7 linked regions of the Macaca fascicularis genome follow. The protein of the gene in region 4 purifies or fractionates together with the protein of the main gene of each other region. This does not show direct contact. Links are inferred from orthologs where the notes say so. Each region holds a gene or a part of one and is shown on either strand. Other genes may lie near its edges. The genes, in order: SENP7, ADNP, MECP2, CBX5, methyl-CpG-binding domain protein 1, EHMT2 and CHAMP1.

Evidence for each region.
Region 1: the proteins of CBX5 (region 4) and SENP7 purify together in Homo sapiens (affinity purification with mass spectrometry; 3 studies listed by BioGRID and IntAct, with this or other methods). This does not show direct contact. The link is inferred for Macaca fascicularis from reciprocal best matches to the Homo sapiens genes CBX5 and SENP7.
Region 2: the proteins of CBX5 (region 4) and ADNP purify together in Homo sapiens (affinity purification with mass spectrometry; 4 studies listed by BioGRID and IntAct, with this or other methods). This does not show direct contact. The link is inferred for Macaca fascicularis from reciprocal best matches to the Homo sapiens genes CBX5 and ADNP.
Region 3: the proteins of CBX5 (region 4) and MECP2 purify together in Homo sapiens (affinity purification with western blotting; 3 studies listed by BioGRID, with this or other methods). This does not show direct contact. The link is inferred for Macaca fascicularis from reciprocal best matches to the Homo sapiens genes CBX5 and MECP2.
Region 5: the proteins of CBX5 (region 4) and methyl-CpG-binding domain protein 1 purify together in Homo sapiens (affinity purification with western blotting; 3 studies listed by BioGRID and IntAct, with this or other methods). This does not show direct contact. The link is inferred for Macaca fascicularis from reciprocal best matches to the Homo sapiens genes CBX5 and MBD1.
Region 6: the proteins of CBX5 (region 4) and EHMT2 purify together in Homo sapiens (affinity purification with mass spectrometry; 3 studies listed by BioGRID and IntAct, with this or other methods). This does not show direct contact. The link is inferred for Macaca fascicularis from reciprocal best matches to the Homo sapiens genes CBX5 and EHMT2.
Region 7: the proteins of CBX5 (region 4) and CHAMP1 purify together in Homo sapiens (affinity purification with mass spectrometry; 6 studies listed by BioGRID and IntAct, with this or other methods). This does not show direct contact. The link is inferred for Macaca fascicularis from reciprocal best matches to the Homo sapiens genes CBX5 and CHAMP1.

Annotation. Positions count from the first base shown.
Region 1 is NC_088376.1:181,716,245-181,719,133, reverse strand, and holds the end of SENP7 (sentrin-specific protease 7), read right to left. Parts: intron 2,316-2,889; coding exon 2,178-2,315; 3' UTR 501-2,177; downstream 1-500. UniProt on the Homo sapiens protein: Protease that acts as a positive regulator of the cGAS-STING pathway by catalyzing desumoylation of CGAS. Desumoylation of CGAS promotes DNA-binding activity of CGAS, subsequent oligomerization and activation.
Region 2 is NC_088384.1:106,991,695-106,995,194, forward strand, and holds part of ADNP (activity-dependent neuroprotector homeobox protein), read right to left. Parts: coding exon 1,984-3,500; 3' UTR 1-1,983.
Region 3 is NC_088395.1:160,165,549-160,169,826, forward strand, and holds the start of MECP2 (methyl-CpG-binding protein 2), read right to left. Parts: upstream 2,801-4,278; 5' UTR 2,768-2,800; coding exon 2,706-2,767; intron 1-2,705. UniProt on the Homo sapiens protein: Chromosomal protein that binds to methylated DNA. It can bind specifically to a single methyl-CpG pair. It is not influenced by sequences flanking the methyl-CpGs.
Region 4 is NC_088385.1:61,102,426-61,105,925, forward strand, and holds part of CBX5 (chromobox protein homolog 5), read right to left. Parts: intron 2,235-3,500; exon of another isoform or gene 1,901-2,234; intron 329-1,900; 5' UTR 287-328; coding exon 150-286; intron 1-149. UniProt on the Homo sapiens protein: Component of heterochromatin that recognizes and binds histone H3 tails methylated at 'Lys-9' (H3K9me), leading to epigenetic repression. In contrast, it is excluded from chromatin when 'Tyr-41' of histone H3 is phosphorylated (H3Y41ph).
Region 5 is NC_088392.1:39,461,057-39,465,278, reverse strand, and holds the start of methyl-CpG-binding domain protein 1, read right to left. Parts: upstream 2,801-4,222; 5' UTR 2,680-2,800; intron 1,329-2,679; 5' UTR 1,304-1,328; coding exon 1,194-1,303; intron 1-1,193. Other genes in the region: CXXC1 (CXXC-type zinc finger protein 1), read right to left, coding at 3,915-4,061, 4,176-4,222. UniProt on the Homo sapiens protein: Transcriptional repressor that binds CpG islands in promoters where the DNA is methylated at position 5 of cytosine within CpG dinucleotides. Binding is abolished by the presence of 7-mG that is produced by DNA damage by methylmethanesulfonate (MMS).
Region 6 is NC_088378.1:139,819,338-139,822,837, reverse strand, and holds part of EHMT2 (histone-lysine N-methyltransferase EHMT2), read right to left. Parts: intron 1,282-3,500; coding exon 1,147-1,281; intron 1,022-1,146; coding exon 907-1,021; intron 748-906; coding exon 646-747; intron 427-645; coding exon 278-426; intron 186-277; coding exon 42-185; intron 1-41. UniProt on the Homo sapiens protein: Histone methyltransferase that specifically mono- and dimethylates 'Lys-9' of histone H3 (H3K9me1 and H3K9me2, respectively) in euchromatin.
Region 7 is NC_088391.1:104,574,774-104,577,254, reverse strand, and holds the end of CHAMP1 (chromosome alignment-maintaining phosphoprotein 1), read right to left. Parts: coding exon 1,540-2,481; 3' UTR 501-1,539; downstream 1-500. UniProt on the Homo sapiens protein: Required for proper alignment of chromosomes at metaphase and their accurate segregation during mitosis. Involved in the maintenance of spindle microtubules attachment to the kinetochore during sister chromatid biorientation.

The sequences.
Region 1 (2,889 bases), on a different chromosome or scaffold from region 4:
CCCGCCACCACGCCTGGCTAATTTTTTCTTTTTTTTTTTTTTTTTTTTTTTGGTAACATCCTAGGAGCTGTGAATTTAAAATAATATTATCTTCTCGAGGAAGGCTTGCTTTGTTCACTAACAGCTCTCTGTCTCTCTACCGCCTCACTAACACACACACACACACACACACACACCCCCTCTAGGCTGAGCTCCCTCCTGCATTCCCAAAGCAACTCTATGGTTGTTCTTACCAGAAAATATTTAAAATGTTCACATGTCCATAAATGACTCAGGAACAAAAGCTATCATTCACTTTTTGTGCCTAGCAAAATGCCTGCTAGTAGTAGATGTTAAAATACTTTCCCTGAACTGAAATGACACTCAAACTATATGCTTATTAAACTATGAGGAAAAATTAATATAAGCATCAATTTCACGATATACACAGAGCAGCATACAACTGGAAATTTATTTCTAACAGTAACTCATGTTTCTTGAGGAAAAAAATTACACCTCAATTTAATGAATTGGAAATATGTTTAATATAAAACACTGATATCCTCAAAACATTATTTGCACATTAATTTAGGAAAACGAATTTTAAACAATCTTCAAAACATGATAAAGGACAGTGGTATCTTTGAAAAACATACAAACAAAAACATTAAGAAATCACAAGATGACTTATAGACTTGCTTTCCCAAAATTAGATGTACAAAACAATAGTCACCTTTAAAAGTACCCCCCAACACACACAAATTGGGAATGAAATATGTAATTATAGCCATCTTTATATGAAATATCCAAAAGACAAATATCTTTAATAATACAAAGATAGCGACAAAATCAAAAGCTAAGAATACTGAGGCTTAAGTGACAACCTCAATTCATATGATTTTGAAATAAAATGTTCAGACTTTCTAGCTTTATCTTAAATTGCCTTTGCTTCACTGCTTTACATAGTTATAATGTAAATCTAAGAGATGCTTAAAACAGATTAAAATAATATTGTTAAAAAACATTTTTCTTATCTGAGAAAATACAATATAATCATATCTCCCTCAAAATACTCCTGATAACATTAGAAAGTTCTGAAGTGCTTAATCATACACAATGCCACCATTATCACATGAATTCAGAACTGTTACCTGAATATTTAATAAAAAATTAAGTTCCATGAGGATCATAGGTCTCTAAAAGCTACAATTTAAAAATATAAAAGCAGTAAGAGCAATCTGGCTTTGCAAATGAATACTGGGTAAATTGAGCTATAAAATTATATATTTAATTCTAACCATTAATAAATAGGACTGAGGGTTTTCTTTGTTAAAGTTATGAGGACATCAATTTTATCTTCTATATTACAGAAACTATACATAAATTCCGTGATAATGTAAGAGTGAATATTTATATAGCAGTACCTCAAGTTGAGCTACATGGATAATTTTTAAAAAACTATTTTGCACAGGTAAAATTTTTTGTTTCAGATTTTACCCTGAACAAATGAACTAAATTATAGGATGCTCACATATGACATCAAAAGAAATGAAAAAAAAAGAGAGCAGAGTAATCGCATTTAGCAATTGAGAATAATAAGCTGCACTTTAAAAGAGCGAATTTTTATAATCTTCCTAACATTAAGAATGTCTTTTTGTTACATACAGAAGGGATGCCATAAATGGCATTTTCTGAAGCCTTGATACTAAATTCTTTTTTAAAAAATACACAGTATTCATACTGCATGCTTGAGCTGCAAAGAATAGAATTACAATATGATGTGACTTGCCAACAAATTTGACAAGCACTGGGGCTGGCACCAGGGAGGCTTTCACTCCCCTCAACACCCAGTCATGTGGAAGTACATACAGATCATGTAAGTTTTATTATCTACAAAACATTTCCATATTACATATGCTATTGCATAATCCAAGCATATTTACTCAGAAAAATATGAAATATTTATAAAATTTTAATTTATATCTAATAAGTTTATCTGTATCACCCCCATTCCCACTCCATTTATAAGATCCCAACAATTCTAATAATATATCCTATGTATTTTAAATAATGTTCCAATGACTTATTATAAAACTACTGCAAGTTATTTTCTTCTCTGTGAGCTGGCTAACACAAATGCTAGTAAGAGGCTTTCCAGTAATCTTAGAGAACATCTGTGTCATGTTTGTACAGATTAACTAGCTACTGCTGCCCTTCTGTTGCTGTAAATGAAGTTTCAAGATGAGCTCTCGAATATCTTCCCGTTTGGTCTTTATTACATGACGAGGAAACCATTTCTCCAAATGAATTGGAAGTTCAAAATTAACAATAGGATCCTAATGAGAGGAAAAAAAGAGTGCAATCACTTTAGCAGCATAATTTCAAATTTGTTTTAACTTCATTTTTATAAGAAATGACAAATTGCTAACTTTTTTAAAATAACAATTATATTAAGATATAATTCACATAATACAATTCACCAATAGCATACAATTGAGCATTTTTAGTATATTCACAGTGTAACCACTTCCACAATCAATTTTAGAACATTTTTACCAAATTGCTAACTTCTAAATATCAAAATTAAATACTCTGTTCTGCTACAATGTATGTTTAAGTGAATGAGCACAAACAGAATTGGTAAATAAAGAATGATTCAGAATGAAGTTGGTTTTATCACAACTTTTCCCAACATGTTAAGATTTTGAAATATTAAAGAGAAAGCCTTAGTAGTTAATGAAAAATCTCAGATTAAAAATGGAAAATCCTGCCAAGTGCCTTCTTTCGGTGTAAGAAATAGCTGACTTATGGCTTCAAGAATCACTACTGTTTCAATGATGTTAAGCTTAACCAGGAAATCGCAAATTGCAACCCCACAGGACGTTTCCCCGAGTGTTTAAAAAAAAAAAA
Region 2 (3,500 bases), on a different chromosome or scaffold from region 4:
GTAGAATTTATAATCTACCTGTATAACAACAGATGTAACATAGCTCCGTTCCAGCCCCAAATTCCTTAAAGGTTCTAATCTATTCTTGCACTTCTTCCTGTACTGTTGTTGAGAAGCTTAACATTTTAGGGAGAGGCTGGTCAAATCTCTACTCTCTGGTAACAGCATTAACAAGAGTCTTTTGGAAAGGGACTCAGAAGTTATGGACATCAGCCACTTCAGACTTCTTTACACCAGTATCCTTGACAGATGACTGACCAGCCTCCTCATGGACTGGAGCATCCCATCATTGTTTTAATTGCTGGAAATGTTGGCCTAATTCTGCTTCCTTGTAACTTTCTGCTTTTTAGTACAAGTTGCTCTTGGGAATCTATGCACGGTAAAAATACCAGCTCCTTCCATCTTTACAGCCCTGTAAGTGTGTGCTCTTCAAAGCCTTTCCCTTAATAGCAAGATGGCCAAGAGTGGCAACAGAGGCAGAGCTGCCTACACTACAATTGTTCCCATTGTAAGGTGAAAACGAACACTTAACTTCATCTACAAGGGAAAAAAAAAAAACCCATCAAGGCTATTAAGATTCTGCTTGCAAATTAATGCCAATCCATGTTTACATTTTTTTTTTTAAATCACTGAGACATTTACATATATATCCAGGCTCTGCTCCTTAACAAAAGGTGAACTGAAAAACTCAAGGGTGTTTATTTTTCAGTTAAAAGAGAAAAACAAAAAACAAAAACGCAAAACAGATTTTGTACCAGGTGCCTCAAGAGAAAGCATTCTTTATGCAGATGACAGATCTTGGGTTTTCCACAAGTTTCCTCTGTGACTGTGGCTGCCATCTCTGATGAAAGAGTTATGGCATTAAATGGCAAAAGATATAATGGACACACAGAACTGTCATGGGTAATAAAGCAAATATTTACATTAAGCACAATACAGCAATTTATTTAGATGCTTAAAATGAATACAAAGGGAAATAAAGATCACAAAATTATACATACTACAACAGTGTGTCATATATTAGATGGTATAAATGAATGCACCATGATGGTGTTGAACTAAAGATAAAACTAAATATCCAAAATGCAGCACTCATTGGTTTGCTGCTTCAACACAACACACTTTTATACAGATCTAAAAGGTGTCAAAATTAGTAGCTGCAAAGTCAATTCTTGCATGTGATTTTAGCTTAAAAGATTTCAGAAAACAGATCTGAAATACCAGTTTTTGTTTTTGACAGCTGTAATGTCAAGGATATTCAGAACAAGAAAAATCCTATAATACAAGAGAGTCCAGATATATATCTTACGTGGCTGGCCTCTGTTGCAAGATTGTACAAGGTTATGTGCAAAAACTAAGTCTGTCCAAAAGTCCATACTAGCGCAGTTTTGAGCTTTTGCTAGGTAAACTAGATATAGCGTTTATTACACAGCAAGGGCAACACTAAAAAAAGAAATCTATGATGGGCACACAGTAACAGTATCATGAGCATCACTTGAATAGGTCTAAAAGACTGTACAAATATACATTTCAACTATTCAGAATGAATACATGAAAAAAAAATCGCTTTTCCCAAAGTCTACTATACACATTAGACTGGTAGCTTGTATGTTGGCCCTACACTACCATGTGAATTAGGTTAACGCTTCTCAAAGACATCTGACCAATCATTTCACAGAGGGAAAGAAATGTTGAAAAGGCAGATAAAATAAACCTCTGCTTTTCCTCGTATGTATTCATGAGCCACCAGCTTATTGGTTTTTCACATTTAGTTACCGTGTCTGTCAGAGAAGGTTCTGAAGCAAGATCAGCCTGTCGTGTCATAGACTTAGAAATAACCACTGGAACTGCAGCGGCCACATGCCCCACAGTCCAACCAGTACTCACAAGGCAGTACCAGTGAGAAGACAGCTTTGCAGTCACACTGAATGGAGATCAGAGTTCCAGGCTGCAGCATGTCACCAATGCCAAGGAACCTGGCACTTAGGCCTGTTGGCTGCTCAGTTTAACTCCAGCTAAGCTGCCATGCATGGGCTCAGCTACTCCGTCAGTCATGTTGTCAAACTGTTCCCCATCCTCACTGTCAATTGTGCTATTCTGCCACTCAATCTGGGGGTTAGATAAGCGCTCATCATTCTCAGCTGCATTCTTCCACTGTGACTGGTCCTTAGACCAAAACCCTTCAACTTTTCCATAGGAACTATTCTTCCATTTCAACTGCTCTCTGTCACCTTGCATGGTAGCCTTTTTTTTGGCAGCTGGCTTACTGCTCCTTGCATCTTCACTTTGGGAAGACTCATCAGACCAGGTTCCTGGTTTCATTTCACAGGTATTGTCCTCAAAGTCTGACACTTGTTGGGATCCAGGCCCACTCTCAGATGGAGAAGCTCCGTCTTTCCACTCAACAACATCGTCTTGGTCAACCTCACTATCAGAAGCATTGTGCATTAGTTTGGTTGGTTCCTCAGTCAAATGAATAGTTTCGTATTTTGAACCATCCTCCTCTTTTTGGTCTAGCTTCTCCTCAGATTCTAAAGCATCCTCAGGAATTACCTTCAGTACATGTTCCTCTGGGTTACTGTTAGAGATTTTAGGCTCAACCTCAAAAACAGGGTCAAAAGGGCTACCACTTTCATTGGATTCTTCTTCCAAATTTCCAAAACTGTCTGAGGAACTGTCATCTTCTTTCCCAAGGTTAAGCTTTTTGTCAGCAGTCTTACTTGCGTTGACTCTGGAATCCTTCTCATCATGATTTTCAAATAGCCACTCAGCATCAAAATCCATCTCATGCTTGACTTTATTTAATTCTTTCATGTTAAACCCCAGCAACACGCCAGGCTTGTACTTTTCACAATCACGGACACATTTCTTCCTTTTGTTACTAAAATGGGAAGCAATGTCACTCTTCCATAACCATAAACTGGCTGCTAGCTTCTCAATTTCTCTCCTGGTGGGATAGGGCTGTTTGTTGAAATACTTTGTTAGAAAGCTTTTCCTGGCTTCATAGGAATCATCTTCATGACCCTTGGGGTCTAAAGCTAAAACAACAGGCTCTTCAGGCTTCTCCTCAAAGAAGCTGGGTGAATCACTATCATCATCTAACTTTCGTTTTTTCAGTAAGGGAAATTCCATTTGCTCATAAGTGCGCTTCACAGGTGCCAGGCTTGGAGACTGATTAAGCCGAGAGGGTGCATTTGTCTTATCCTGGCCATTTTGGGTCTTTCCAACACCCCTGCAGTGAACTAGATGCAGAGTGATAGTCGAGGCGGTCATGTTGCTGGTATACACACCAAGGCAATGGATACATTTGTAGGTGAGCTTTTTCTCAACTGGATGAACCGTCTGAATAACCTGGTGCCTCTCTCGTAAGTGATGTGCAAGTGCATCAGATATGGGTCCTTTTAGGATTGAAAAGCAAAGAGGACAAAGGGTTTTCCCAACATCTTTTTTATAGGGCACTGCAGCTTGAGGTGAACTTTTAACAGGGATATCTGCCTTTT
Region 3 (4,278 bases), on a different chromosome or scaffold from region 4:
CTTCTCATTTCATCTCCACATGGGAGGAATGTTCCAGAGGGGGTAACAGCCTATTAAACTCATCTAGCCAGTTTTTTTGTTTATTTTTTTTTCAAACTCCACAGCTTGCCTCCCTACTCCACTAGATGAGATTGCACAGAGGCAGGGCAGGCACGGGAAATGACTCTGGTTGGAAATTACAAACATATACACACAGAATGTAAGCACCATAACCCTTTGAATACACAGTGGTTTGTGCCTTGCCCCAGACCTACCTAAGTATTAAACAGCACAAAAGTCGGAGTTCTGCTGACTGTATGACACTCTCCTATCAATCGGGTAAAACAAAGACCCAGTACTCTAAGCTTAAAGCATTCCAGGTTAAATTTTAGTAACAGGCAATAGGAAGGTGTGATAGGCCAGTGCTAACAAGAAAGTCATAGATGGTTTCTTTGAGCTGTTAGGACACTGGAAAGGGCTGGTATGGAAGCCCTATGGAGCCATTAGGACAATGGAAAGGGGGGTACCCCTCCACCCGGCACTTTGAAGAGAAAACTATACTATGGAAGCTGCCTGCACTGTTGAAAGGGCTAGGTGTATGATAAACAGCTAACTGGAGGGGAACCCGAGGAGACAAACTGCCAACTATGAAGAACAAAGCAGAGACCTCAACTTGTCATGTCTCAAGCTCAGATGTACAAACTTTGGGATCGTCAAGTGAGGCTCCTGTGTCTGCCTGGGGATATGACTGTATTCCAGTGATCAGCCACCTAGCTGACCTGCCACGAATGGGTGACCTGTGGTGACTTATTTTAATCAATTGTACTACTTCTAGATTGATTGGGTGATTTAAGGTTCTGACATATTCACGTAAGAAAATAAAAGCAAGTGCTTCCTACACTTCCTGACTGGGATTTAAAATAGAAATCCTGAAAAGCCCATAAATAAGCCTATTTCCCTAAATCCTTGGTGGAAATTCCCAAAAGATTAAAAAATCCAGACCCTATCTTATTATAGGGACCCAGCAGATTTCAAAAGACTCAAGAGGTCAGCTTAATCTGGTTATTAACTGAAATTGCTGAGATACAGATGAACATTCCAGCCACGGAACCCAAAATTCTCTAGAGTAATAATTACCTATTAGTGCAACGTTACTACCGAGGCCGTATATGCTTTTTACAGTATAACAAAATGCCTAAAACTTATGAGAGTCCTACAACGTCTAAGTCACTCAGTATCACATCCAAGTAGGTATGGTTCCTGGATCACCAACCAACCCATGAATTCGATCCTGTTATCTCAGTTTGGGGTACTGATCCCGCACAGCAGAGACACAACGTGTGCAAGGCTCGGCAGAGCCCATTCCTGTTCCTGGAAAAATAACCAGAAGCACACATCTGTCTGACCATGAGTCAGGAATATCAATTTTGTGGTGGAGCCCATTTCTGCTGTGACCAACCCACACCCGAACACACTCACAACAGAAGTCACCGCCACAGAGCAATTCCAGAATGAGCTTTTTCCCCCTTGGGGTCCATACTTAGCAATGTCATAAACGGTCTCCCCTGCGAGAGCAATCCTTTTAAACTCTTCATAATGACCTTAAGTCTTTAGTGCAAAACCACAGAAACATTGCCACTGCCATATAAAAGTCATCTGAGTTTCAGTTTGGGTGATTCGGTCATAACCAAACTGAACAGAGAATAACCTTTCAGGCACAATGAACAGGAGCCACAGCGTCGCGATGAACTTGCTCCATCTGGTACCGGTGATCCCGAGCGCTCCAGGGCGATGAGAGCCCGTTACCTACTATGTCCCACTCCACTTATGTAACTGGAAGATCGCCGGCGAAGGGGAGGGTAAGATGGGAGGGTGCTCACATTCCGAGGCCACAGCACTCCAAAGAACCTCTGAGCACCCTGGGGACACGCTCGCACCTTAGAGCCTCAGGCGCCGAAGAGCCTCGGGTGCTGCTGGACGCACAGTCCCCTACTCACGGCTCCTGATGGGAACTATAACCACCTCTTTATGATGAGTTGTGGGACCCAGAACACAATGTCTAGTCCTTTTGTGGACAATAATCCCCACCTCCTTGTTCCTGCTAGATGGGGAAAGGAGCCGGTGGACCTACTCGCTCGCGTGGGGGTGGGGGGGCAGAAATTCATGGAATGGGCGAGAAGGAGGGGGAGGCAAAGCCCAGAGATGGGGGTGAGAGCTCAGGAGCCCTTGTGGCGCACTCTCCCGACGGGAGGCGAAGTGCGCACGCGCGCCGGTGGGGGGGGCCAAGTAACGGGAGAGGGGGCGCGCGAGGGAGGAGAGGGGAGAGCGCGATCCAGGGAGAGGCCGGGGCCGCGGGCGCGCGACGGCGCCGCGGCCCAAAGCCCCGAGCAGGGCAGGAGCGCGCGCAGCCCCGACAGGCGAAGCCCCGGCGACAGGGGCGCCCGCGGGGCCGGGGGCCGGGATGCGCGCCGAGGGCGGAAGGAAGAGGGGCGTCAGGCGAAGGCGGCTCCAGGGAGGCCGCGCCGAGGACGGTCACCCGCGAGCACGGGTGACGGGCCGAAGGGAGAGTCGCCACCGGCGGCGGCGGGAGGGGGAGGGTAGAGAGGAGGGACGCCATCCGCCAGCCGTGTCGTCCGACCCCGCGGGCCCCTCCCGCGCCACGTCCCGCCCCTGACCCCCGCCCCCCGGCAAGGGTCCCCGCCCGCGGCCACGGCGGTCCCACTCACAGTCTCTCCTCCTCGCCTCCTCCTCCTCCTCCGCTCGGCGCGGCGGCGGCGGCGGCGGCCATTTTCCGGACGGCTTTTACCACAGCCCTCTCTCCGAGAGGAGGGAGCGCGCGCGCCGCCGACGCCGGGACCCCGCACGGTCGACGTCGCGCCCCGCCCTCCCGGCCGGCCCGCGCGCTGCTGCACCTGCGCGCCCGCGCCCCGCCCCCGGCGCCGCTGCGAGCCCGCCCGCCATTGGCTGTGATGGCCGGGCTGGGGCGGGGGGGCGGTCACAGCGGCGATGCCGTCAATTGGCGAGATTTCTTGTCCATTTCGGCCAGGGAAAAGGAGGCGGTCCCCTCCAGCTGTTGATTGGCTGCTTTCGGCCGACGTTTGGGGAAAAGAGGCGGCTTGGGCGCGGAGGGGCTGGTTTAGTGGGCGGAATTTGAATGTTAAGGATTAATGGACCCTTGCGGATGCTGGGGCAAGTGAAGGCCCAGGCTCGGGACGCCTGTTTGCGCGGCCCTGAGGGGCGATTGACCCTCTGTCCACAGATGCACCGAGTGCGCTGCAATAAGCGTTTCACTGCACCCGCAGTTTCTCAATATCACCATTTTCAGCAGAAGCAGCAAAGTTACCCGCCCTGGAGCCTGACGTTGCCCCAGCTGAGGGGCCTTGGTTTCAGAGGCCTACTCAATGCATTATTTCATCTGAGCCTGCCCGGTGGTCACGTTCTCGTAGGGGTGGGGAATAAACTGACAACAAATCCCAACCCTGGCCTTCGCAGAACTCTGGCGGGGGAAGAGAGTGCATGCCAAGGCCTCGTGACACCTGTCATTGTTGGATCAGATGGTTTGGTGGAGGTGTGAATAAGGGGCAATGTTAGCTCTGCCTGAAAGATGTGATTTGGGAGCTGAGATCCAGCAATTGTTCACTTTCCTAGAAAAATGGATTTGGAGCTGAGATCCAGCAATTGTGTTTTGGGAAAATATGAGAAAAGTGTTAGCTAACCAGGTGTTCAGGACAGGAGTGTTTGTTAAGGGGACCTTACCCTGATGCCAGTCATTATCCAATCCATTCAGTGATCCTTCTGTTAGTTCTATGCTTAGCAAGAAAACCTGATTCTGATTTGGCTGCCTGCCCCCATTCATTTATTGACTACCTGCTATGTGCCAGGCACTCTTCCAGGCTCTGGATGCATGGTACTGAACAGACAGCATACTAAGATTCTTGCCGGGAAGATTCATACTAGCATACACATAAGTATAATGTATCATTTCACATAGTGACAGGGGCTTTGAGAAAGATAGAGTAAGAGTAAAGGGGGTGCTATTTAGGTATCTATGGGTTTTCATCCTCATTTTACTCCCTCATTTGAATATCTGGGGAAAGAACATTCCAGGCAAGTTCAAAGGCCATGAGGAGAGACTATGCCTGGCATGTTGGGGACTAACAAGGAGGTCAGTGTTGCTGGAGAGTGGTAGGGAATGTGATTGGAAAGGCAGCCGGGGCCACTATGAAAACTGGGAGTTCATTCTTTTTTGGGGGGGTGGGGGATGGGGTCTCATTCTGTAGCCCAGGCTGCAGTGCAGTG
Region 4 (3,500 bases):
TTGTTTTGTTTACTGCTGTGTCTTCTAACTCTTAGGAAGAGTGCGGGAGGGGGAAGAAAAAGACAAAGATGCTCATGATTCCTAAGGAAATAAACCAAAGATGTCTATCTCTACAGAGTACCAAAGCCTGGGGGAAAAAAGGAACTTACTCAGAAAAGCCTTTCCACTTCAGTAGATATTCCACTTGTCCCTTAACTACACGCCTGTCTAGCACCTTCTCCACAACGTACTCCTCCTCATCCTCTGAAGAAGAACTGTCAGCTGTCCGCTTGGTTTTCTTTCCCATGTCGCACACCGTTCCACCTGAAAGACTAAGGCCACCGGGTCCCTGTAAAGGCAAAGGACAAAATAGTTAGAATCCATGTGAAGAGTTAAAAACTTTGTCTCTTCTTGATGGGACGAAAAGGGGATAACACCAAGTTGCCATGTGCCCTGCTCTTGAGTCTCAAATCATTCTACAGATGAGTCCTAAGAATTTAATTTAAAAATGAATCAGTCTTCACTTCCTCAACCACAACCTTCTCTTCGGCTAAAGAGACCAAAATTATTAGAAGGCGCAATTGTCTAACTCTTCTTTCAGATTCCAAAAGACAAGTAGTGTGGTATGTTATTCCTGGCTATGTTTATAACTATTTACAAGCCAGGAACTCAAACAGAAATGTGCAAAATCTTCAGTTAAATGAACCAAGATAAAATTAAAACCTTTTTCTCCAAAGTGAATAAGGGTCTTTATAAAAATGAAAAAAGAAAAGCCACTAAAATATGAGTTTTCTGTGCTCTGAGCATCTTGCCCAGTCTCTCACCAGCACAAAAAAAAGGCTTGCTCAGGCATCTTTCACCACATTTTCAGTGACTTGGTACATTTCCCTTAAACAAATTGAGCTTGTCCCTTCAGAGCATCCATCAGCTCACAAAAGCAAGGCTGACATCTCAAACACACTAAGCTTCCTTTTTAGAAAGCTAATTTGGGGATGGGAGGGAGGCAGAAAGGAGAAAAAATTTTCAGTCCTAAAATTCAAAATTAGTCACTAGATTGTTGAGTAATTCCCAAGATGTAACTAATCCAAATAGTTAAGAAGGTACCTCTCCTCTTAACTGAAGTTGACTCAGGGCCAAAGGAAGAGGAGGAGGAAAAAGAAGTCTGGCCCCAGACTCAGCATCAACATGAAGCCTCCTCAAAATACAGAGGAACCATTCATAGGCCCAAGGAAAGCTGAAGCAAGGAAACACAAATGGAAATTGAGTTAAGCTCAGAAATATGCACACCAGGGGGTACTCAACAGAGAATCTAGTTTTAAAAATTCCCATGTTGCTCTTCCACAATCATTTTTAAGAATTCTTCCTTAACCATGCTAAATGGCGCCTACAGTCTGGATTACAGAGTAGCAGAAATTGTTTTCTTAGCTGAACTCCATTTTTGTTTTCCTGTAATCTTTAAAGATGTTTATCAGCACCCTCTAAATATTTCCACCCTGACCAGAAAACCACCGGGTCAGGGAGGGCCCACTACTAATCTCACAATGATGTTCAAGTCACACAAAAAGTGGCAATTATCAATTCACTTCAAATTAGCAAAACTTTAAAAATTATTACAAGAATGTATAGTTGGAAACCATATCCCCAGAACTTATTAGCAATAGGTCTCCCCACCTAAAACACTGCCTATACCCATTACTGCCCTATAAGACTAAGTTTTTATTAAAATACTCTATTTGGAAGAAGTAGTAGGAAAATGTAGGTGCGGGGGGCGGTTAAAATAATTTTTCCATGAATTTAGAAGAGTCCTAAGCTTCAAGAAAATATTTTATGTGGTTTATTTAAAATGAAACAGCCTCCAACCTCACCAGAGACAGGAAATGTCATATTCCAGGGAGAGTACCCCACCCCCACCCCCACTCACCTTGGAATTTCCGGGAGCTGAGCAGTTTAGGTCAGAGCGCTGGGGTTAAAACCAGCCCCATGTTAGATGCATGCAGTTAAGCATTGTGGCTATGGCCTCCCCTGCCTCACCAGGAAAAACAAGGATTTACATGTGTTCTTCATTTTGAGGGAGAGAAAAGAAAAATCTCCCTTTATACCTTCATGCAGAAGAGGAGCCCCAAAGGTAGAAAATGAATGGGGGTTCCCTCCTTTACCTACCGGATCGCCCCAGTTCTTTCTTTCCCTCTGGGCTAACAGGAGGGGCCTCCCCTCCCAGGTCTGGGTCTTGGCGGGCTGGCAGCTCCCCCGCCCCCACCCAGCTGCCTGGGCGCCACTGCGCAGCTGTCCCAGTCCGTTGCCATAGCAACTGGCAGCAGTACTACACTAAGGGGGAGAAGCAAATGGAAAAGTTAAAAGGCTTAACTTTCCTTTTCAGTGAAGACTGGGTGGAGAAGTTGGAAGGTACCTCTCTTGGCCTCAAGGCTAAGGCATTCAGAGCTCAAGGGAATTACTTCTTAGGTTTTAAATCCAGTATTTATGCTTATTCCTCTAACAGCACTGTAAATTAATCAATAGCATTTTAAGATCATCTAACAAGATTACAGCTCAACTGAAGGGGGGAGGGGAAAGGCTCGATCCTTCTACAATACGATCAGTACAAACCACCCATCACTTAATACAGCCCACCAGAGCACTTCGGGCAACCCCATTTTACCATCTGTCACAGAACAGTTAATTAAAATTGCTTGAGGGGAAAAATAACAGGAAACAGGGGAAGGGAAGTATTTTAAAGACACTATATAACTTTCCTTCTTTGGGGTGATTACTAGAGATAAAATCCAAAGACACGAAGCACTACCAAAACAACAACCCAAAAAAAAAAAAATCTTTTAACTAAAATTACAGGTGGAGCGCCGGGCGCAGCGGCTCATGCCTGCAATCCCACAACTTTGGGAGGACGGGGCAGGGCAATCATTTGAGGTCAGGTGTTCGAGACTAGCCCGACCAACATGGTGAAACCCCGTCTCTACTAAAAATACAAAAAAATTAACCAGGCGCGGTGGCAGGCGCATATAGTCCCAGTTACTCAGGGGGCTGAGGGAGGAGAATCGCTTGAACCCGGGAGGCGGAGGTTGCAGTGAGCCAAGATCGTGCCACTGCACTCCAGCCTGGGCGACAAGAGTGAGACTGTCTCAAAAAAATAAAATAAAATTTAGGTGGAAAAAAATTCCTAAGAAGTTTAAAAAAAAAAAAAAAGGAGAGCGGTTCTGCCACAACCTAATGGTTGATAAATTAAAACCACTTCTAGGTTGTTCTATAATGTTATGAAACAGATTTTTAAATAATTATTCATCACCTGATACATTATTAATGTACAACTCTCTGTATCAGTATGTCCCAATTCTTGAGAAAAGGAGTACTGGGATAAATAAAAAAGACATACAGAGACTTGAAATACTGTAAGTTTTCCATTCTTCTGGCTCTAAAGAACATTTTTGAGAGCTTCAAAACTACTCTGCTTTATAGATATGGGAACTTTAAAGCCAGAAGTGGCTGCCATAGGAGAGTAAGAAAAAGGG
Region 5 (4,222 bases), on a different chromosome or scaffold from region 4:
CTCATTAGTTATGGTAGATATGTTCTACAAAGTTGCCATGAACATTGAATACAAAACCATTGCTCCTAGAGGAAATACAGGGTTAGGTTCCTGAGAGCATCTGAATTTCTGTTTTGTGCGTGTTTCTGTTTAAATACACATTACTTAATATATATTTTTTACAAATGATTATTTGCATGGTCTTTGAATGACTCAAACCAGGGGCTTTGGAGGCCATATGTGTTCTGTAGGTTTGTTTGCCAATATTTTTGTTTAACAAGCCAATCCCATTGGCATTGAAAACCACTCTTCTACACAACCCCTTTCCTATAAAACACTTAAAAGGTATTTTTAAAACTCTTCGGAAGACTCCTGATCGGGAGAACCTGCATTGCATGCAAGTTTAACATTTTTCATGCCATGTTGCCTTTTGAAATGTGCAAGTCAGCCAGCACTAGCTGATACAACCTTAATATTTTCCTAACCCAGGGTAACGTGACTTTGGCTTTCCTCAACAATGCTGTCCACTATGCTTTATTGATCGTCATTTCATGAATCCACCAACGTAGCTGCTTTCTCATCTCTTCCATAGCTTCAAGACTATAAATGCTTTCTGTATTTTCTGAAGCAGCCTTGTGCACATATTGGCAAATTTCCTTCTTTTTCTGGTTGTACCATAATTCTGATGCATAACATTGAACTTACAGCCAACAGCATTGTAACTCAGATAACCAACAAGGTTTATCTGCCTTGTATTTTCTCCGTAAGGCACGACATGGCCTTCTCACACTCAGAACACTAAACAGCACCTCAGCACTACGCTTGAGGACTATTTTAAAAAGCAAAATCACCAACAAAACATACAAAAATTAGAAAAATGTGACACTAAACAGACCACGAAAAGGTCACTTGTTTACGGTATTAAAGCTGAAATAAAAAGGGCTCCTTCAGTCTCAGCTAGAAACACATGCATTGAGTGACAGTTTTTCACTGCTCTGTGCATGTCCTTCAATAATCACAAATGCACTGTGAGTAGTGACTTTTAAGTTACAAATACTGTATTAAGTAGGTGAAATTGCAAACACAAAATCCGCTAATAACGATTAACTGTTTGTGCATAATTTAAACTCCATCCATAAATTTAACCGCACTATTTGATTTTACCCTAATGAGGCTCTACCCCACCCCCACTCTGCCCACAACCCACCCAGTACCTCTGGTAATAGGTGTCTGAGCGTCCACAGGTGGCCCCTGACTTGCGAAAGACTTCACGGCGCTTCCAGCCAGGGCCCAGGGCCGGGCAGTCCAGCCAGTCCTCAGCCATGGAGGCCACAGAAAGCAGCAGTAGCCTGAAAGGGGGTTGAGGGGATGAGGGAAACTGAGGCTCTAGGAAGGGACAAAATGTGCCCCAGGCCACACAAATCACTGGTATCCATTAGTGCTTGCCCAAGACCTAGGACCTGCCGCAGGCAACCAGCCCATATATGGAGAAGAAACCCCTCATATTCTCACCCCATTCTTTCCTATTCTGGGCCTAGGAGATCCTCATTCCTCAACCCAAGGATCCCTGTTTATTATTCTTAGTGTCCTAATCCCCTACTCCTCTCTATCCTCAGACTGACAGCCCATCATTTCTCCTCACTGCCAATTCAGAAACTTTTCATCTTCCCCCCTCATTCCTCCCTGTCACTGACCTAAGGGCCTCTATCCCTCTATTTTATCACCACAAGACCCCCATACTTCCCATCCTCAGCCCCAAAGGGCCCCATTTCTCTTGCCCTCACTACTTGGCTTCAGTAGTCTCTCATTCCCCCCTTCCCCGACCCAGGAGTTCCTAATTTCCTTCCTTCAGTGTTTTAACCATTCCATTCCGTCTCTGCCTGATGTCCTCTTATCTTGCTACCTCAGTGTTACAACCTCGACTTCCTCTGCGAGACACAACTGCTCCAACCCATGACCCGAACAGCCCCTCATCTTTTCCATTTCTCACACACTGGAAGCCTCCCATGCCTCCCCTTCCTCAGCCAAGAGCTCCCCCCTTACTTTTCTTCTCCTTCAATGTTCTGGCCCACAATTTCTCCCCAGTCTCAGCCCCCAAACCTTCCTGTTTCTCTCCTCTACATCCAAAAAGTTCCCCACTTCTCCCTCTCACTGTTCTCATTCTCCATTCCTCCCTTATCCTGAGAGACCCTAATTTCTCCCCTCAGCATTCCGAACCCTCCCCCATTCTCTGTTCTTGTCCTGGGATCATGCCATCCCTAACTGTCAGCGTTCTGATCCCCTACTGCTCCTCGTCCTCTATATGGGGCCTCCCATTCCTCCCTTTCAGCATTCCAACGCCTCCATTTCTCCTGTCATCAGCCTGAGGGCCCCTCATTTCTCCCGCTCGGAGTTCTGAACCCCCATTTCTCTCTCAACTTCAGATGCCCTGATGTCTCCCTTTAGCGTTCTGATCTCCACCATTCCTCTCCGTCCTCGTCCCAGGATCCCGACACTCCTACCTGTCAGAGTTCTGAGCTCCATTCCTTCCTGTCCTCAGCCTAAATTCCCCTGTTTCTCCTCGTCAGTATTCCGACGCCGCCATTCCTCCCCCTCATCGGCCTGAGGGCCCTTGATTCCTCCCCGTCAGCGTTCTCAGCCACAATTCCTTCCTATCCTCCGCCTGAGCACTCTCCACGTCCAGCCCCAAGGCTGTCTCACCAGTTTGGCACCAGGCTGGTATCTTCCGCCACTCTAGGCCCGTGGACCCATGGCTAGGGTCCCTCCTGCGCCTCCCGCCTCGCCCTCCTCCCCTTCTTCCTCCTCCGCGGCCGCCTCCTCTGAAGCGGTAGCTGTCGCCTCCGCGGCTGTTCGTTGCTCCCGGAACCGGAAGTCCGCTGCCTTCCTCTCGGGCTCCGCCTCTGGCTAAGCACCTGCGCGCTATTGCCTCGACGTCGCGTGCCCTTAATAGGGAGGCTCCCGCGCCTGCGGGCTGGCGCTCTGCAGCGGGGCGCGCGCCCCCCGGCCGAAAACCAGTTGCATCTGCGTGCTGACGTTCAACGACAGCTCGTGCCCCATCGAAGGAGGGACCTGCAGTCGGGGCTGTGCTCGCTGACCATCTAGCTTGCGCATGCGCTCTCCAGTCTCAAACTGAAGGGAAGTCGTCGGGGAGGGCTTGCGCCTGCGCCCTCCCTTCCCTCCCGCGGTCTCCGAGGCGGATACCCACAGCGGCGAGGAAGCTGCTTCGCGCCTGCGCACTCCCTGACCCAGCCGGCGCTCTCTTCTCCCATCTCTCGCTGGGGTCTATCCTGTGCTCGCCGGTCCCTCCGAACATCAACCCCAGGGCGGTCGTGTCCCGCTCCCTCCTCCCCGCCGAACAGGTGCTGGAGCGCGCGGGGCGGGGAAAGGGGCGGTGACGCACCGCAGGTAAACTGAGGCACGCGGGAGGGCGCGCCCCTGCAGGAGGCGAATCCCCAACGTGGGGCTTGTTGGGAAAAGGCGGGGCCTGGCGTCCACAGTGGAGGACAGCTCTGGGTGGGAGACAGGAGCACGCGTGGGCGGTGTCACCACACTGAATACGTGCTGCGTAGACCCTCTGCCTGTGGGAGGCTGGGAATGTGGGTCCCTGGGCCCTCCCGGGGTGCAGGCGCCCCCCATCTTATCCAGGAGTCTGGAACAGTTGCAACCGCAGCAATGTGGACACAGCTTCCTTGGTTTCTTCAAAATTTTATTAACAAAACCCAGGGAGAGGAGGCAAGGATGAGTGGACTCCGCAGCCCCACCAGGCACTGAACATGTCGACGGGGACAGACCCTCTGATAAAGGCAGACGGGCGGTCAACCGGTGGATGGGCACAGGGAGAACCAGAGAAACAGATGAGTGGAGGAACGGACACATGGGCACCGGGCAGCTCCCCCATCTGGAATGCAGGGTGTGAGGGGTCCGGGCCAGAAGGCTCAGCGGTCGGCACTGGAGCGCAGGTCGGTAGTGAGGGGATCGTGCTGGATTGTCTGGTGCAGCATCAAGGCCAGCAATCCCGCGCGGTTTGTCATGGCTGTGCGCACATTGCGCTCCTGCTCAAACAGCTCGTCCAGCTTGTACCACTGCCAAGAGAGCGGCAGGAGTCCTAAGCAGGAACAACTGAAGCCCCGCCTGCCCTCGGCCACGTCCGGCATGGAAACCTACCACATGCACCATGAAACCACAGCGAAACCTACCACACGCACGCGCTCCAAGTCCACTTCCGCACGCCGCAGCTTCTCCC
Region 6 (3,500 bases), on a different chromosome or scaffold from region 4:
GCCATGGGGCATTCTACCTGTCTGCCCCACTGGTCACTCACCGCCGTGCAGAAGTAGCCGCAGCCCGGGCAGCAGTGGTGTTTGACCATGCGGGCGCGGTGGGTCTCACAGAGCACCATCAGGGCCACGCGGCTGGATGGCCTCATGGTCTCCCGCTTGAGGATGGCGGCATTGCAGCCTGACAGCTGTGCGTGGTGAGGATGGGTGAGAAGAAAGGGTGAGGCTGGGGCCCGGGACTGGACGCCCTGGCACCTCTCCCACCAGCCCACGGCCCCACCTCTCCGTCCACACTCTCGGTGGCCATGCACTTGTGCCCCGCCCTCTCGCTGATACGGTCGATTTTGGGTGCCTCCATGCGGCAGCTGCACAGGGGCAACTCCTCAAACCCTCGCTCTGTCTCCAGCGAAGATGTGTCATTGGACACCCCTTGGACGGAGAAAAAGAGGAGCTGAGGGAGGCCCTGAACTTCACCCATTGGGACCCCTGGCGGGTCCTGTCACTCCCTCCCTACCTCACCCCCATGCCCCAGAACCCCTAAAGCCTGGCCATGGACACCCCGGCTCTGGCGTGGTTCCCCTCCTTCCCTTTCCCTCCTGCCCTGAGGTTGCCCCCTAGTGGCTCCCTGTCCCGGCAATTGGCAATTACCAGCGTGGTTGGGGGAGAGGGTCCCCTCGCTGGGCAGCTCCAGGGACCCCAGAGGGACCTCCATGTACTCACTGGGGCCTGAGGAGCCCACACCATTCACTCCTGACACAGAGACAGAGAGAGTGAGAGTGCGAGCTCACAGGTGCCTGGACGCGTGGGTACATGCAGGTGGACATGCGAGAGCGTGTGTGTGCGTGCACACACTCTGGGGGCTGGGCGGGGGCTGGAGGAGGGCACCCAAAAGCAGCAGAGCCTCCTTACCTCGTGGCTCCTTGGCCCGCGGAGGCTCCCGCTTGCGCCGTTTCCGAGATGGCTTCACCCATGGGCTGTCTTTTCGCCACTTCTTCTTGGCCTTGCGCCGGCCACTGGAACCACTCTGGGAAGGGGGAGGAGGAGGAGTTACGAACCCTCACCCCAAGGGGGCCCCCCAACACCTTCAGGACCAGACCACCAGCCCCACAGTCTCCCACTCCTCTGGAGATATCAGCCTCCGTCTCTTACCCTATCTGACTGATTCCCTGACTCCTCATCTTCCTCTTCTTCTTCCTCTTCCTCCTCCTCTTCCTCCTCTTCTTCTTCCTCCTCTTCTTCCTCCTCCTCTTCACTTAGTTGTTCAGTTAGAGCTTCAACTTCAGACTGGGAGAGAGGCAGAACAGGACATATCCAATCCCCAGGACTCAGACAATGAGATAGATTAAAAAAACCACCACCACCATTGCCCCCCGCCACTACCCACAGATGGCTGCTGGGGAAGATGAGTGTGGGTAGGAGAGGAGAAAAAGGGCCACATAAAGAGAGGGTGCATGGACTATTACACAGTAGTGAAAAAGGTGCCACAGTTATAGACAGCAATGTACACAGATCTTGGTAATGTGACATTAAATTAAAAAACAAAAAACAAGTACCAGAAGATAAACATAGTTTGATCCCCCTTTTATGATGTTCATAAACAGGCAAGACCACCAATGGTTGCTAAAAACACTAGACATGAAGCTCATGAGAAATTTTATATGAAATGTTCAGGCTGCCATCACCTGAACCCACTGGTCAATCTTATCACTAAGAAAAATGACCATATGAGATGTTCCATGCATCCTGATGTGATGTGGCCAGAAGCACTTGCACCCACTGTCAAGTCTTCTTGGCACCTGAAGTCGATTACGCCTCTAGATCTACCAGTTTACAAGAAATATGGGCAGAGAGGATGTGTCAATCTCTACCCAAACAGCCAACGTCATACAGAATGTGAAAAATTCTATACAACTGACCTGGTTTGACAAATAAATGGCAAGAAAAAAATGTCTTTCTTATTTATTTATTGAGTTTCGCTCTTGTTGCCCAGGCTGCAGTGCAATAGTGTGATCTCAGCTCACTGCAACCTCCACCTCTGGGTTCAAGCAATTCTCCTGCCTCAGCCTCCCAAGTAGCTGGGATTACAGGTGCCTGCGACCACACCCAGCTAAGTTTTGTATTTTTATTAGGGATGGGTTTTCACCATGTTGGCCAGGCTGGTCTCCTGACCTCAGGTGACCCACCTGCCTCCCAAAGTGCTGGGATTACAAGCGTGAGCCACCACGCCTGGCCAGAAATTTTTTTTTTAGAAGATGGGGAAACCAGGCAGGTGTGGTGGCTCATGCTTGTAATTCCAGTGCTTTGGGAGGCTGAGGTGGGCAGATCACAAGATCAGGAGTTTGAGACCAGCCTGGCCAACATAGTGAAATCCTGTCTCTACTAAAAATACGAAAAATGAGCTGGGTGTGGTGGCGGGTGCCTATAATTCCAGCTACTTGGGAGACTGAGACAGGAGAATTGCTTGAACTCAGGAGGCGGAGCTTGCAGTGAGCCAAGATCGTGCCACTGCACTCCAGCCTGGGCCACAGTGTGAGACTCCATCTCAAAACACAAAAACAAACAAACAAACAAACAAACAAAAAGAAGATGGGGAAACCTAAATACCAAGAGAGACCTAAGACAAATTTTTTTTTTTTTTGAGATGGTATTTTGCTCTTGTTGCCCAGGCTGGAGTGCAATGGCACGATCTTGGCTCACTGCAACCTCCGCCTTCCAGGTTCAAGTGATTCTCCTGCCTCAGCCTCCTGAGTAGCTGGGATTACAGGCATGCACCACCACGCCCAGCTAATTTTGTATTTTTTTAGTAGAGACGGGGTTTCTCCATGTTGGTCAGGCTGGTCTCGAACTCCTGACCTCATGTGATCCGCCCGCCTCGGCCTCCCAAAGTGCTGGGATTACAGGCGTGAGTCACCACGCCCGGCCGACCTAAGACAAATGTTAATCAAATCAAGGTGCGGGCCTCATTTGGATCTTGACAAAAACCCATTTATGAGAGCTGAGGAAATGTGAAGACTGACAGGATATTTGATGGTATTAAGAAATCAGTAGGCCAGGCGCGGTGGCTCAAGCCTGTAATCCCAGCACTTTGGGAGGCCGAGACGGGCAGATGACGAGGTCAGGAGATCGAGACCATCCTGGCTAAAACGGTGAAACCCCGTCTCTACTAAAAAATACAAAAAACTAGCCGGGCGAGGTGGCAGGCGCCTGTAGTCCCAGCTACTCGGGAGGCTGAGGCAGGAGAATGGCTTGAACCCGGGAGGCGGAGCTTGCAGTGAGCTGAGATCCGGCCCCTGCACTCCAGCCTGGGCAACAGAGCAAGACTCCGTCTCAAAAAAAAAAAAAAAAAAAAAAAAAGAAATCAGTAATTTTTTTTAGGTGTGAAAACAGTAGTGTAGTGATGTTGAACGACAAAAAGAGGCCTTATATTTTTATATATATATATGGAAATACATTTACGTAAAATGATACAAGGTCTGGGACTTGCTTTAAAATAACCTAGTACG
Region 7 (2,481 bases), on a different chromosome or scaffold from region 4:
GCAACCTGGGTGACAGAGCAAGGATCGGTCTCAAAATAAAAAAAAAGAGAGAGAGATTTGACACAGAGCCAAACCACATCACTAAATATTGTTAAGATATCCCAACGGGCATATTAGTAGGGAAGCCAGCCAGTGGGGAACTAGGACAAAACTGTTCATTGTTAAAAAAAAGTCTGGGAATAGCTAAATTAAACCCAGTACAGCATCTCAATCCTGGCTACACATCAGAATCCTCTGAGATTAAATGCCTCACACTGTTCAGAGGCAGGCAGGATAGGCAACCACTGGAATTAAAAAACCTTTCATACGAAAGGATGAGATTTTTCACATGGAGTCCTCCCTATACAAGCATTCCCCTAACTTACCTGACCACAGAACTTGGAGAAAACACAGCTAAGAAAATGCTGCTCCAGATAAGAAAATTCCTATGTTGAAAACATGGAAATAATGGATTTCTATATCATACATGCAAATTACACAAAAGAAAACACACATGAAAATGTTGCTGACACGAAAGCCTTTCTTTTTTAATTTGGTTGATACACATTTGACAAAATACTTTAGAATAAAATAATCCATGAACAGGTACAAGGTATTTACAGTAACAGAACTGAAAAACATAAAATCGATATATTTCTTTAACAGAAATGTCTATAAAATTTTCTACTGTGAACCTGGAAGACTTTCAGTTCCTACTTATTAACCTGGTCTTAAGCCCCAACAGGCGACATGTAAGGCCCAGGAGTAGGACATACAAACTCTAACACATTTGGCAATTAAGAATCATCTATTAGTGTGAGCTGGCGGGTGGGGGCTGGGATGGGGATGGGGAGGGAAGAACCAGATCTTAGGGTAAGATATAGAATGGAAGACTCCACTGAAAACAACTATGGACAAAAAAGATCTAAAATCACACTTATCGTTCCACTTGTCTCCTGTGGGAGAAGGCTGCAAACTATTTTAAAGACTTACTCAATTTTTCCCATTAGCAGACAATCAGCAACCCTGAGACTCCAACATTTCATGACATAAAAGCTAATAAACATCTAGAAGCTGATTAAGATTTATAAACTAATTTTACATCAGATAGAAAATAACTCTTATGATTTAAAAATACATGTGAGGAAACAAAATTTCTCAAATTTATTTTTCATGCCTAATTCTTAAACATTTCAACTAATATTTTCTATTATCTGAAATTAGTTCCACACACAGATTAACTGAATGCTTTGAGTACAACTTGCTCTTGATTATTAAATGGAATGCCTACTTCCTTGTTTTATTATTCATACATATTTAAAAGAAATGAGAAGTTTAATCCATCTGGACTATATAGAAATTGATTGACTTACAAGATAGCCACATAGACAGAGACCAGAAAAAAATAATCAAATGCTCATTCTTAGTAACACAACTGAGACAGTGAAACACGGTACACCACATGTCATCTACATATCCAACTAGGCTATTTGATAAGCTATACTTACAAAGAATGGTTTCAACGAACACCTTTGTAGAACAAATATTCATACTGAGCTATCAAATTTGCTGCTCCTCCAGTGGCGGTTCAAGAGCTTCCATTAGCTTTTTATTTGCCTCTTCATTATGCCGGCTTTGACAATGAGTTAAATGTTTCTTAAAACCTCGTGGGAAATTTGATTCAAAATTACAACGTGGACATTTAAGTAAACTCTGCCCATGGGCTGCTACATGATTTTTAAGGAGAGATTCCAAAAGAAAAGCCTTTCCACAAATTGTGCATTTGTAAGGGCTATGAACATTATGCTTATTAACCAAATGATGCAAAACAGCACCTTTTTTCATAGCACGACAGCAACAAATTTTGCAATAATACTTTCCTTTTCCACGCTTCATATATTTTGCAATCTCCTCTTCAGAGATAAAAGCTTCTTTTTCTTCAGTAAACTGTAGCACATTTCTAGACTGCTCTGGACTAGTCATGTCCATTTTGTTCTCTTTGCTAAAATCAATGGATTCCACATCAACCTGCTCTTGATCACTGCTTGATTCCTGGCCCTTAACATCCACCACATCCAAATCTGTTTTTATGTACTCACTACTACTAAGCTCAGCATCTGAGCTCTCTTGGTTGTCTTTCTTGAGCTTCTTTGAGGAAGGAAATAAAGTATCTTCCAAAAGTTTCTTAGGTGAAGCTAGAAGTTCTTCCTGAACCAAAAGATCACATTTTTGATCATCTATGGCATCTATTTGTAGTTCATCACCAAGCTCAACAGCCTTCTGTGATTCTGAGAATAGAGCAGATTTGGGGAGTTCAGGGAAAAGGGCATGCTTCCGGGGCTCTGGAAAAAGGGCACGTTTGCGTGGTTCTGGAGAAGCTGGAGGGGCTGTTTTGGCAGGCTCGGGAAACAGGGCAGGTTTTCTAGGCTCAGTATCAATAGAGAGAACTGGCTTCCAGATATCTGAGGCTGCTTTGGGGGACTCAGATGGCCCAGAAGAACC